Drosophila melanogaster: one gene and its partners. The protein of the gene in region 3 interacts with the protein of the main gene of each other region in a pairwise test. Each region holds a gene or a part of one and is shown on either strand. Other genes may lie near its edges.

Evidence for each region. The genes of interacting proteins can lie anywhere in the genome.
Region 1: the proteins of CG17739 (region 3) and slv interact in a two-hybrid assay, tested with the Drosophila melanogaster proteins (one large-scale study listed by BioGRID).
Region 2: the proteins of CG17739 (region 3) and BomBc2 interact in a two-hybrid assay, tested with the Drosophila melanogaster proteins (one large-scale study listed by BioGRID).

The regions. Positions count from the first base shown.
Region 1 is NT_033778.4:8,080,026-8,084,979, forward strand, and holds slv (saliva), read right to left. Parts: upstream 3,268-4,954; 5' UTR 3,250-3,267; exon of another isoform or gene 2,834-3,249; intron 2,269-2,833; 5' UTR 2,067-2,268; coding exon 1,990-2,066; intron 1,915-1,989; coding exon 1,837-1,914; intron 1,479-1,836; coding exon 1,249-1,478; intron 1,182-1,248; coding exon 1,006-1,181; intron 935-1,005; coding exon 815-934; 3' UTR 534-814; downstream 1-533. Other genes in the region: sut1 (sugar transporter 1), read left to right, coding at 3,268-3,360, 4,506-4,610, 4,667-4,827.
Region 2 is NT_033778.4:18,384,291-18,387,378, reverse strand, and holds BomBc2 (bomanin bicipital 2), read left to right. Parts: upstream 1-1,789; 5' UTR 1,790-1,807; coding exon 1,808-1,865; intron 1,866-1,920; coding exon 1,921-2,327; 3' UTR 2,328-2,540; downstream 2,541-3,088. Other genes in the region: BomS2 (bomanin short 2), read right to left, coding at 507-586, 649-706; BomS4 (bomanin short 4), read right to left, coding at 2,541-2,620, 2,685-2,742.
Region 3 is NT_033778.4:12,304,842-12,310,941, reverse strand, and holds CG17739 (uncharacterized protein), read right to left. Parts: upstream 4,415-6,100; 5' UTR 4,389-4,414; intron 3,664-4,388; 5' UTR 3,655-3,663; coding exon 3,477-3,654; intron 3,384-3,476; coding exon 2,995-3,383; intron 2,942-2,994; coding exon 2,480-2,941; intron 2,424-2,479; coding exon 2,252-2,423; intron 2,188-2,251; coding exon 2,066-2,187; intron 2,002-2,065; coding exon 703-2,001; 3' UTR 530-702; downstream 1-529. Other genes in the region: CG30203 (uncharacterized protein), read right to left, coding at 52-217; salto, read left to right, coding at 4,844-4,880, 4,944-5,011, 5,071-5,413, 5,471-5,722, 5,817-5,977, 6,041-6,100.

The sequences.
Region 1 (4,954 bases), 4.2 Mb from region 3:
GGCCGTTGCTCACTACGGCGCACATACCCATAAAACCATCAAGCCAGTATTGGTAAGCGCACGAGTGATAACCGTCTCTCCACTTCAAATTTGAATCTGTAAGAGAAAATATTTATGATCTCGCCTAATCATTTCCGCCCCCCAAAAATGCCACCTTATCGATGCTGGGCGCCAAATAAAGATTACCGCCATATCTGGTTGCATGTTTACTGGCTAATTCCACGCAGGTCGATAAGCACTATTATTGAATTAAGACAAGCCGATTTCATTGATCAGACCCCCCACCCCCGCGCCCACGAACATTTTCATTAAATCAGAGGTGCAAAACAGGCAGTATACGGTCGCTTAATTCAACAGTTTATGGCCCGGAATATCAGCATATCAGCTTATCGATACCAATGACCGCAGACCAGCAAAGTGCATCGGGTTCACTCATTAGAATTCCCAGTCAGAAATCCGCACTCAATCTGTACAGACCGTGCCGAATCGAATTCGGGCCTTGTGCTTATATTAGTTGAAATCAACAAGTACTTCGGTTACTCAATCGTTTCCCGTGTGTTCGTTTATTAGGAATACGGGCTCTAAAGGGTACAATTAAATGGGCGCCACCGAACAGCAAGGCAACGTAAGTAGCGGCATATTCGAGGCAAATCCTCGGGATTAAATAAATACTTTACAATAAATATAGGCTTACTTTTACGTATGTCTATAGTAAATAAGCCTGGCGCCTAAGCAAGCAGCATGTATGTATAAACCCTGTGTGCGGCACGCTCGGAGGCCAAAGCGAAATGCGTGGCTTGGTCCGATTAGCTGCCTAAAACGGCACTGCCTGTTCGACCAGCTTGTAGCCGTGGCCGGAGTAGCTTCGCGGCGGGTAGAGGACGAACAGACCCAACTGCAGCAGCGACAGTATGCAGCCCAGAAAGTTGGGAATCTGAAAAAGCAAAACAAACAAACGCCGTCGTAATTCGCTGTCTGGCTGGCGAGTCGTGGGAAGTGGTTCACCTGGATAAATGAGTCCGATATCAGTATACCGTAGATAAGCCACTGCAGGCTGACCACGAAGGACGTGGCTATCAGAGGCAGGGGAAGGCTCTCGGAGTTCTTCGCCCGTATCACATGCAGCAAGCTAGCCAGCGGGGCGGCGAAGAAACACACGGTCACGATGCAGCACACAATTCCTGAAATTTTATTCAGGAATTTAGCAAACCTGACATTGCCGAAGTGTATTCGAAAACGTGCTCGTACCTGTGACGTGTATCATTCGATCGCGCTGATCTTCCAGCCGATTGGTGTAGACAATGACCACCACCAGAACAGTCAGAACAAACCCAAACTGCTTTACACAGGCACGTTTGTTGACGGTAAACACATAGTAGATCAGCGTGTAGACCAGAAAGAGCGTCGATCCGATGATGTTGACCAGCACAATGCTCTGCTCGTTGGTTAAGACACCGTAGCGCAACCAAAAGCTGCACCTGTACAAATATTTTCAATTATTTAAGTTGGTTAAAAGCCGAACAACACAGGGGTGTTAGCCAGCCAAGCAGGCGAAGTTCACACGATGTGTGTCTTTAAATATGGATGCTGTATAATATCTAATTGATTTTGTATGCCAAATCCGTGAACTTTGGAATGAAAATGGCTTTTTTCCTAATATATGCATGTAAATCTAATATCATTGAGAGACCTGGAACTTAGAATAATTAGCTATGGTTCAATCCTAAGTCTCTAAACTCTAGTGCATGAATTTCTTATTTTAAGAACCAGTAGTCCCGTCAAGCGCGACCAATTCGAATTTATCTCAGTTGTGCCAAGTCGGCAGTTTCTACTTACGATAAGAATCCGCATATGAAGGGAACTCCGGAAGAGTCCCCCGTGCTTTTCTTCTGGATGTACTTTCGGCATATCATGCTGCAAGTATAAGGAAATTAAACAGTTGATGATACTTTGGACAATGCTAGTTGCATTGGTTTATGGATGACTTACGCGCCGGAGAGGAACTGGAAGACGGTGCTGATCACCGCCGTCGTTGACAGCAGTGAGTCGTAGGCCACCGCCGACATAGCGATCAATCTTCTTAGTAACTAATGCTAAACCTAAACGGTGGTTAAAGACGCTGCGGTTTCAACTACAACGTCAACAAAAAGCTGAACAGCTGGTCGAGGGCGTAGAGATGGCACTTTCGACTAGAGATGGTCCCGTACGCAAGGGCTTAGTTCACGAATTTAAAAATGTATACTGTTAACCGGCAAATCTTTTTGGTATCTGTGAAATAAATTAAAGTAGACAGTTTACTTGTTTAGCCTTAACAAGAATCTCATCAAATTTCATTTTCCCTTTTTGGCGCTCGGTGTCACAAAAGATTTTGCATCACTAACTAAAAGATTGCTTTTCTATCGATACAGCACGCGCAGTTTTCAAATTATTCGGGAAGGAGCGCTGCCCAATTTTTACAATCTGAACAAGGAAACAAGTTAGTCCATAAAAGGTTTTACTCTCCTATTACATTTTCTGTTTTGATGTTATTGTGTTCTTTTTATTAGCCAATATTTCTTTGCTACCAAAAAGTTTAATTTGGCTATTTCTTGCAACAAAAGCGGCAAGAAGCTTTTTACACTCTAGCAATGAGTTGGATATTATGAAACTGTTGCTATTGGGAAATATTTGGGACTTTTAAAAATATCGTGTTAAAGTGTTTTTTTTTAGTTCTGGAAATCTTTTATAGTTACATTTCGTTAAATACCATGCTAAAATATAAAATTCTATGCAATCTGGAAAATGTTTAGTTGGTGATGAAAACTTGTTGAATTGTATACAAGGGTATTATTACTTCGGCTTGACTTATTTATTATTCCTTATCTGTTGCCGGCACCCAAAGCGTTATTGTGGTGGCGATTCGTTCTTGGCGAAAGCTTTTTCTCCACCAACATCGCTCAGCTGGGGAAATTCAGTCGCGCTCCCGACTCCAACGCTGCCGCACCGTACCGCTTTGATTCCAACTCAATCCCGCGTGCACTGCTGGCGGTGCGCCGTTTACAAACAATTGTGGTTTAGAATTCCGAACTGCTGGGGGGATCGCAAACTAAGAATCCACACTCGGTGTCCGTTGCACAACACTGTTTCGGAACCCGATTACCTGCCTTACCACCAATTGCTAACAATTGTTCTAACCGTGTTAACACGCACACATCGTAACTGTGTGCTCCGAGTGCCTTGGGAAGTGTTTCCTCAAAAAGTGGTGATTACCAGGCAAAGTCCACTGTTATGGCCACCAAAAGCCAGCCGGCGGAGGCTCAACAATTGTACCCGCAGCCCAACAGAGTGGAACTGCTCTCGGCGCAGACGGATCCCAGCCAGGTGAGACTCTTTTCCAGGTGAGAGAGAGAGCGGGAAGATCGCCAAATTTTCCCTCTACCTACCACCGCTGTTTTGTGGTTCTTGTTGTTGTTGTTTTCCTGTGGACAGTATCTCTGCACATGCACATTTTCTTTGTTTCTTCTTTCGATCCCGTTGTTTTTCGCTCTCTGTCCGGATGCTGTTTCCCACTCTTTTATCTTACGCATTTTATTTTCAATATTTCGCTCTTTCTTTTGTTTTTATATGTAAATCTACTCGGCTATATGCGTCTCCTCTATGTATTAATTTTATTTTCTGTCATGCATAGTTGTTTTCAAAGTCGAAAAAATATTTATGTGCATGCACACATACAACCGACGCATTAGTATATGGTCGATTCACCTACAGTGGAGCCTACGTTGACACGATATATGTAAACAAGTACATATATATAGTACATGTATATAGAAAAAAAAAATACTTTTATGGATTTTTCAAATATTTCCTATATGCATATATATCCATAAAATTGGGCGCAATTAAGAAGTTACTAATTTCAAATGCCTATGTTAGTGACAAGATACAAGTCACTAGATACGAAGGAAGTTTGATTCTCACTATTCAACTAGATTATATTATGTAACAGTAAGGTGGAGACATGACTTTTTATGTAAATATAATTTAATAGTGTTAGCTTAAAAGCTTTCTATTTTACAACCATGTTTTGTACTGTAACTTTGACCTTTTTGGTACACAAGTACTTAGTACCGCATCGTTTTCATTATTTTGGCAAACAAACTGATTTCCCAGTACATACACTTCGGCTGAGTTCCCAGCCATTGCTTATCAGTTATACAGAAACACCGACTGCGGTCTTCCATTCGGTTATAAATAGTATGCGACCTAATCGCATATGATCCCAAATGCTCCTGCTGAGAAATGGAAAGTTTTGGCCGTGGGTCAAGTTTAGCCGTAATTAGCGCCAATTATTGCGATTATGACAAAGCTGGAATTAATCAGAGAGTGCTGATAACGCAACCCCCATTCGAATTCCGAAATGACCCTGCACAATGACGCACTAAACCGCTATCAGGGTTCGCATTTTGGGCACAACCAGGGGGAACTATTGCTCCAAAGTAACTAATCGTGATCGGAAAACTTTGCAGAAACCGCGATGGGGCAACCTCCTGCTGCTGGTGGCCCTGGCAACCACATTTGGCGGCGCCGTTTCCACCGGCTACTGCATAGGCGTTATCAACGCCCCCTCGAAGGTGAGATATGGACAACCACAGCGAGTGGAATACCGATTCAAACGATATCTTTACAGCTGATGAAAGTTTGGTGTAATCAGACCCTGCACGACACCTACGGGAGTAACCTCAGCGCAGGCGGTCTAGATCTCTTGTGGTCGTGCGTCGTTTCTGTGTTCCTGGTCGGAGGCGCCATCGGTTCGCTGGGCGGAGCTGGAGCAGCCAATAAATTTGGCAGGTATGTAGCTATTAATCAATTCGATAAGGATAAGCCACTTGGGTTTCCTCAAGTGTTTCTAGTCCGCCAATTCACATATCTGTATAAACCATTCATTTTTGTTTTGTTTTAACTTCCGTTGAACTAA
Region 2 (3,088 bases), 6.1 Mb from region 3:
AATTATATAGTTTTCATCAAAAATAAAATTATAACATTATTTTTCGTCATTTAAGGCTATAGGAATTTAGAGTATAGTATATACAAATAAATTAAGAAAAGGTTAATATGCGTGCAACAGTGCGTATGAGTAATGTCCATCATAAGAGGCGTGCCTTTTGGAGCCTTTAGAAAGTTTTTTCAATAGCAAGTATTTAAAGATCATATTTAATATGTATATATACATATTTGTATATATTTGGCTTTAATTTGCATTGAAATTGTGTTAATCAAATGCTTTAGTGAACATTTCTTGTTTAGCTACTTGTTTATATTAGCTGCAAGGTATTAAAAATACGAAAATAGTTTTGTTTTTTCACCATTTTATTTGTAATTGGCGATGTATTTTTTACTACTAGTTTTCATTTTAGTACAAGAGTGAGAGTATAAATATGGTGCTTTGGATTTGAGGTAAGTTTTGGCCCATCTTCGAAATTAAGGCGAGTACTTTCCTACTTTCCTACTTTCCTACTTTCCACCGTGCACATTGCAGTATTTGCAGTCCCCGTTGATTACCACATTTCCTGGATCGGGCGACAGGGGAACAGCTGCGGAAGAAATAAATAATTTATAAAGTAATCAAATAGCTATAAAATATAGTATTACTAACCGTTGGCCAGAGCCAGCAGACCGAACACAAAGACGGTGACGACTGAGAAGAACTTCATATTGATTCTGGTTTGGTTGTTGTGGCTTTGATTTGCTAAATGCACAAGCAATCGATTGAATTCAACTGATGCTCTTGGCTAGTTCGATTGGATCTTATATAGCTCAGCCTGGAATCTTGGAGCAGCAAATGTGCATTGGTTGGACGGAGGCCACTGATAACCCCCATCGAATCGAAAGCGCTTGGGAAAACACAGAAAGTTGAGCGTTCAATAGCATTTGTTTTGCGTATTTAAATCTGGAAATTCCAGTCCCGTGTTTATGGGCGTGTTATGTGAACCAACAGGTAGAAGCTAAGATTGCTTTAATGTTCGAGAGAAAACCATTGGAGTTCTTAGAAGTATTCAAAATAGTTGCAGTTCAATATAGCTTTCAATCATTTGTCTTTCTTTATAAGAACTGAATAATTTGTTTTTTGTTTTGTTTACAAACAAAGTTTGTTGTTGTTTTTTACCTCGATTTGAAGCACATGCACCTGCAAAGTTTTGCATATATTTCAATATAGAAATGTGTTGTGCTCAGTGAAATTGAAACCGGCTTATAACATTTTGAATACAAAGTCTGCACGTGCTACAAATTAAATTAACACGTATACACTTGCATTCAAAAACGAGTTCATTAAACTTACTATTGAGTATGTTTTTAAATAATAATATTCTGTAGTAATCTTTTTAACAATTACTACAAAGAAAGCGTTATATTCTTCTTGTAACCATTAAATGAAATTTTATACGCAGTCAATATAATATTTAAAAAAAAGTTAGAACTCAGGGAATAATTAACTAAATCATGTTAGAATATGGTTAATCTATAATAAATAGCTGAAATAAAATTGCATCAGCCGCTTTGTAAATTGTATTGATTTTAAAAAAAAGATGATAATTTATTATATTTTGAAAAGCACTCATTTCCTTTAATCTCCTACACAGGCAACAGTCAATAGTTCAGCTTTGTTTTAAAACAAAGGTGTACTCAATTCCAGCCAGATCGGTTTTAAATTTGTATACATTATATATATAGATTATACAGATTATAAATCTCAGCTAATCGGCACGGCTATAAAAAGAAGGCGACGCCGATCAATCGGCTTAGAGGGAATCATAATGAAGAGCCTGACGTTATTGGCGCTTTTGATCTTGGCCACGTTGGCCTTTGTCCACGGTCGGTTTGAAGGCCAAAAGGTTTTAACTTGAATATTAACCGTTCTTCTACCTAGGTGGCAAGGTGACCATCAACGGCAAGTGCGTAAACTGCTCCCATGATCAAACGACTACCACCACGCACAAGCCAACAAGTGGAAAAGGAAGTGGAGGTAGGACGACAGCCCGGCCAAGCTCGAGATCATCTCCAGCCCGCGGTCGCCCATCATGGGATGACGATGATGATGATGACCTGACCGGTGACTGGGCACTGCATCAATCGGCTGGAGGAACTCAATACATTGGCAGGCGTTCGAAGCGTCAGTCACGCGGTGGTCAGTACATCGATTTGGGCGGATCTGGCGGAAGGGGTGGAGGCGGAGGATGGGCAGGATCTGGCATAACCACCATCGATTCCAGTGGCTATCCCGGCGGAACACTGGTGCGCAATAGTGATTGCGTCGGTTGCAATATTCGCGGATAAAGTCAATAAATTATTGAAACACTAAGAAATTATCTTTTTTTTAAAACGAAGATTGTTTAAACTTATGTGGTGGAGGAATCATCTGTAAACCAATATTCGAATTTTTTCTTATAGTCTCTATAAATGATTGCGATTTAAATACAATTTACAATATAGCTTTCATTTTATTACATTTTTATTATGATGCTAAATATAAGTTTTGATTAAAAATTTCTATTTGCCACCACGAACATTGCAATTCACACAGTCGCCATTGATGATAACATTTCCTGGATCGGGTGACAACGGAATAGCTGTTGAATAAGATGATTATTTACTTAAGTAATCAACTAATTAATCTTTGTAGGTTCTACACACCATTGGCCAAAGCCAGAAGACCAAGCACAAAGACAGTGACGATTGCAAAGAATCGCATATTGATTTTCAATTAATAGATCCGGTTTTATAAGCTGAACACACCGGACAAACGATCAACTACAACTGATGCTCTCGATTAAGGGAAACCGATCTTATATAGCAGATAGTCGGATCTAGGAGTGAATCAAGTGCCATATGAGATGAGAGCGATTGATTGATAGCTGCTGACAAAATATTTTTTTCGTGGGAAATATAGATTTACACTTTTTGTTTTGATTAATTCGAAAATACTAAAAATAAAAAACATCTTTTGTTTAGTTAGAAAGGAAATAGAATCCTCTATTTGTATGTATTTCTTTGATTTGCATTTTTAATTCTATGTATTATTCCAGTAAAAAATGGTA
Region 3 (6,100 bases):
TGATGATAATAATGTTGAAGTAAAAGCTTCAGGACAACTCGAGACTCTCACCATTGTACTGATGTTCTGGCACATAGGTCTCTGGATTGCCATCGATAAGGATCTTAAAGTTATCATCCACAGGCGATCGAGGGCCACTGGCACCTTGGGGTATCCGATTGCAGACTCCTCTGACTTCGGAAGACAGCAGAATGAGGAGCACGATATGGCGAAGCATCTCTTCTCAATCTTAGCGATCCGTACTGGGTCGAGGCTCAACGGCGACTGACCAAAACTGATGGCTAGCCATCTCCATTAATTGATGAGCATTTCCAATTTATCAATTATCCCTTAAATGGCGCTCTCGGCGTTGACAGCTTATGGCATCTTGATTGAGTTGTCTTCAATTAGGAATGGTTTGTTTTTATGGCAAGCTTTTCAATTGATGAATTGTGCCCGGGTTCTTTGAACTTGCAACCCGGCGAAAAATCACTCGTAAACTGGCCACTGTTTGCTTAATGGAACTGGGTCAAGGTTAAACTCAATCGGAATTGGAATTACCACGCGAACACAATTCTGTTTTATTGTTTTTAATACATATTTAATCTGTTGCGAGAAGAGCTAGTGTAGGTAGTCTGGAATTTTTCATATATTTAACGATATCCATTGGTAATGATTACATAGTTGGATTAGAACTAATACTTGTAGCAGTTAATGGTATGTTCACCACCGCTCTGGATCATCGTTGCTGGTCAGCTGGCAAGGCATCATCACGCACTTTTCCATGCGGACGCGATCCTTGCACTTGTAGCTCAGATCGGTGTTCATTAGGGTTCGGGTTCGTTGGCGAACGGCATTATCGCCACACGTGGCGGTGCATGGTGTCCAGGCGGACCACTCCGAGTAGCGACACTCGTCCTGCGGTTCCGGTTGCGGAGCTCTTACCACATGCCTTCGCTCTCCAAATCCCCGTCCACTGATTGAGTACATGTCATCGCACCGCTGGTAGCAGCGATCCAAACGTACCAGGTGCTTGGGACATGGCTTGCCTCCATACTTCGGAGTACGGAGCACCCGACGCGTTCGCAATTGGAAGCCATCGCCGCAGGAGGCGTTGCAACTGTGGGAAACCCAGTCAGAGACGAGACAATCAATGGCTGGAATGCCATCGTGCTGCAGTTCCTGTTTGTGGCGCGGCAGGCGACATGTCTCCTCGCACTCCTCCTTCGACTTGAATTTGTTGCGATTTGTATCACAACGATCCGACCAATAGATGGCACACTGGTCACTCACATGGTCGTAGTACCAGAAGTTGGCCACATCGTTATCCCGACACGGACTGTCGGTCAGCTCGTCGTAGCAGAAGCCGGGAACAATGGTATCGCAGCTAGGATTGGTGCAGTTCACCTCCTCGTGCAGCTTGATGTGTCGACAGGGATCCTGGCCGTCATCATTGGGATCCGTTACTCCGTACACCTGGTTGTTATTCCACACCTTGCGAATACGTTGCCGCTTTCCATGTCCACCGCATGGCCCCATGCACGGCGAGAAATCCGACCATGGAGTGACCCCGCAAACCGGTGGTATGTAATCCTCCCGATGCTGACTGTAACTCTCGAAGTTGCGGAATATGGAGCGTTTCTCAGCGGATCCACCTCCGTCGCCACCGGCCTGTTCCTCCTCCGGTTCCCCAGCACCACCTTCGTTCTCGATGTCCCCACCGCATTCCATTGCCTCGCAAATCTTGGTCTCATGCAGACGCGCCCTGCTTGCCTTCTGGCACTTCTTCTTGGCCTTCTTGTTTAGATAGTGTCGGGATCGGGTCATTTCGCCGGTTCCACAAGTCACGGTGCACGAAGACCACTCCGACCAGTCAGACAGACCGCACTGGGGATCGTCGCTGCTACCTGGTGATGGCGCCACCTCCGGCTCGCCGCCTTCAGCTGTCTCCTCATTGAAGCCAGCGCACTTGTGTCCCACGCAGTTCTTCTCCTCACGCAGGGCATTGTTGCAACGATGACGCTAAGGTAGGTGTCAAAATGTATATATAGTATGGGATCCAAATTATATATGTCGTCTTAATTACCGAAGCCAATGCAGGGTTCTTGAACTCTCGGATTCTGTATTGCTTGCCGGGACCGCACTTTGTGGTGCATTCATCCCATCTGGACCACGAGTTTGTGGCGCACTCCGGCGGTACCTGTTCCGCTACAGGATTAAAGTATATAGTATGTATATTCACAACATCAATATATGGTTGCATTTAACTTACAATCGGAGGACTCGCAGTTCTTTTCGTAGAGTCGTCTTCGATTGATGTGCAGGGTGGCCAATGGCTTCATCTGGGCACCAGTGGGATCATAAAAGGGCGAACGGGGATCGTTGGGGAAATTTGATTTGATGCGGCGCACAACATCTGGAGGCACCTGTGGCTGGTCAGCGGACTGAAAAGTATTCGTGATTGACTCTACTGAAGACTAAATCATGGAAATCGTCTTACCATATATGATGGACCACTATCGGTGCCCGCATCCCAGGGATATAGGTTGTGCACCTTGTTCTCCACCCAGGAACAGTTGGGCAGACATAGCTCGAGGCCGGATACACCAACGATCCAGTCTGGAGAGGGATCCACCATTGATACGAGGGAGATCAAATGGTGGTTGGAGTCGACGCGAAAAACGGCAAATGTTTTGCCCGTAACATTCGGATAGGCAATGCCCCTTGCCTTGATGATCGTGCGAATGTGTTCGCTCTGATCCTTCAGCTCACTCTCCAAGGTCCTTGTGGAGCCATGCTCCGCCACCTCACGCAGCCCCTCGCTGGCCAGCTCTCCATACTGCCAGAATCTGTAGTCCAGTGTGTGCGAGGCACCAATGATATCGCTGAATCTGGTGCGCCAGCTATTCGCTGGAAAGTCCTTGGGATGTGTGTGACGCGACCACTTGCCTTCGAAGGTAAGCTGAAGTAAGGAGGTGTTAATACCATTTCAATAATGAGTTAAAAGAGTCCCACCTCATATTTGGCCTCGTCACAGGCACAGCACGGATCCACGATGCTGGGCTGGGTGTCAATGTCGTCCACCTCCTCCTCGCACATACGCTTGGTAAGGAAGCCATCATCCATGAACCACACATCTCGATGCTGCATCACCGTAGCCCTCAGCAGGATGCAGCCCTGTCCCGGACTCGATGGAGCCACCCAGAACACATCCACGCGTGTCTTCACGTTCGTGTTGGTATTCTCGACAAGATTTGGGCAGCGCGGACTGAAACGGGTCTCGGCGAGATCGGCGATCTCCCAGGTGCCCAGGGCATTGGCGTCACCATCGCCGTCACCACTCTCCAAATCCAGGGCCAGCATAAAGCTAATGAAGGACAAGCCAGAAAATGCACTGAGGCTAACTGAAAACGAGCAGCGAAAGATTAGAGAATTGAAAGAAAAATCTAGAAATTTGTAAATTTAATTTAATTTAATGCTTAATTTAATGCACTCACCATTATACCTTTGACCGGGCACATAACTCTGCGTATTTCCGTTTACGGACAGCACATAGTTATCATCCACCGGTGACTTGGCTGCTGTGACTCCCGGTGGGACCCTAATGCAGCCCTCGATCCGGGGAATAACACCCACTAATGCGAGAAGAATAGTGAAACCTTCCAGAGCTTTCATTTCAAAGAGCTGCAATGCAAAATTGAGTGGGAATACAAATTTACAATCATTTGATGCAGCCACGTGGTTGTGGGGGAAAAAACTATTTCTGGCCAGCACTTAATTGTCTTAATTATCCGCATTGGTATCGAATGTCAATGGCAACCAATGGAGCCTACTTCCAGTTTCAAACTGAACTTGAATTCGTAGAAATAGCCTTCAATTGAATGACTTTGCGTGATGTCACACATAGTGCATATTGCTATTTTCGCAGACACTTTCCATTTCCTTTGAGATCCAAATTATGCCAGCTCAATTGCCATGCGGAACTTGAACTAGGCGGGTTGTTGGTTGTTTACCCCTTGAAAATCGGATCGCATTGCGTATATACAATATATAGTCTGTACTATATAGACCGTCTACGTCACTGATTAAATTCAATTGAAAAACGCGCCGACTGTCTACAGCGAATTCGAATACAAGGGGGTGACAAACGTCCATTTCCCATGGATCTAAATCATTAAAGTCACTTTTAGGGCTTCTTCACCTCAGTACTGCACTTATATTGTAGCACCCACTTTCACTAGCACATCATGTATGTTAATCCAGTTGATTAAGTTATTTTGAGAAAATAAACTAATAGCAAGGTGGTACAGATTGTTTTTTCATACTCTTGTTACTCAGTATTGATGGATCGTAAATGAAACAATCTCGAAATATATGCTTTTAGAGGGAAATCCGAACTAAGAACTTACTCGGTGGACGCACGAACAGCAACTGAATGCAAATTTCGCCGAGTCGATTATTGGATGGACGATGTGCATCATTCGGGACCGACGAATGGATTACATGGAGAACCTCAGAGAGGGAAAAACTGCTCTCTACTTTTCCCTCCCATTTAGCTTAGTTTCCGCTTCTTTTGCAGATTCGCATTTGTTGATAGAAACCATTAGTTTTCATACGCTCATTCTAAACAAACAGACCCCAAAAACACCGGGTACATTGGAACTGAACAAGTGTGCTCTGAGTTTGAATTCATGTTACTTCCACGAACCACCTCGTTTGGATTGGTCAGAAAGCATTTTTGTACCATTTACACTAGACGTAGTTCAACTGGAAATATTTAGAAACAAATTTTCTATACTATTTTTTCCTCATTTTGAACACAAAAATCGTTTACAAAAAAGCGTTGATTTCCGAAACTTTAGATATGAATTCTTCCAGCGTGACGCCGCGTTCAGTTCGTAGTAAGTACATGTACCTTGAACGCTATACGAATGTGTGCTTCAAATGCTCGTTATCCTTGTTAGGTAACAAAGCATTCTTGCTGAGGACAGCTGGAAAGGCGGAAAAGCAAGCCTCAGACAAAGCTACATGGGTGAGTGAGATAGAAGAAAAGGGTTTAGTTTTTTCAAATGCTTTACATCCCCGTCCCAGTCTCGCACTTCTTCTTGTGGTGGCGTCTTCTCTACTCCTCCCACCCAGAATGGCGACGGAAGCCCAAACAAAGGTAGGCTCAGTCACATTCCAAATAGGCGTGGAGCGAGTCGGTCGTCTATCCATTCGCGAAAAACTTCTCTGGAACGGGTTACTTCTTCGACGAAAGCGCGCCCGTGTGTCAGTACGTATTCGTTGCCCAATCGACGGGTCGAGCCCGAGCATAAAGTAGTTGAGCCCGATCGGAAAACTGATATCGATGAGTTGAATCCCCCCAAGCGGAACGTGGTTCCCATAAAGACGCATGCCCAGTCAGCACAATTGGTTAAGTCAACGACATGCGGTGGGTATCGCGAATATTTGAAACGTGGTCCAATTCTCTGATTATTGCCGTCCACAGAACCTTATCAAAATGTAAAGAAGCCTGAAAAGATGTCGCATCGCCGTGTCCTGGAGATGAACCGGATGCGGGTCTTTGATACGCAGAAAAAAAAACTGGAGAACCTGCAGTCCGAGTTTATGCACAAGATCCGGTTAATGGGTTCGGAGCTCCGGAATCAAGGGGTCTTCAAGTTTGTGGGTCTGACTGTAAACGATGAATGCAAGCTTGTGGTCCACCATGATGATCTACTTCGATTGCCCAAGAGTATTCGTAAGTTCGTTTTGATTTTACGTCTTCGATTGAATGAATTGTTATCCTTGAATTATCCTTCTTTCGCTTACAATTGCATACTTTTATTTTCTAGCCGCCGAAAGTATGAATGACTTGAAAACCAGGTGTCGTGCGATTGTAGATCAGGGGGTTTTGTTAATCTACGACCATATACCAAGAATTCAGAGGGCTAAAAATGATCTCGAGGCTAGTGAAAAGCGTGAGGAAACTCAAAAAAAGTTGTCTAACCTAGTGGTATGTTTTTGTGCAACCGCTATGATGCACTAGCAATGTGAAACTATTTTATTGTGTCTCCAGGAAGAAAAAATGAATTTAATCGTCGAGGAGATCGAACAGTTGTGCGGTGCATGCTCCAAA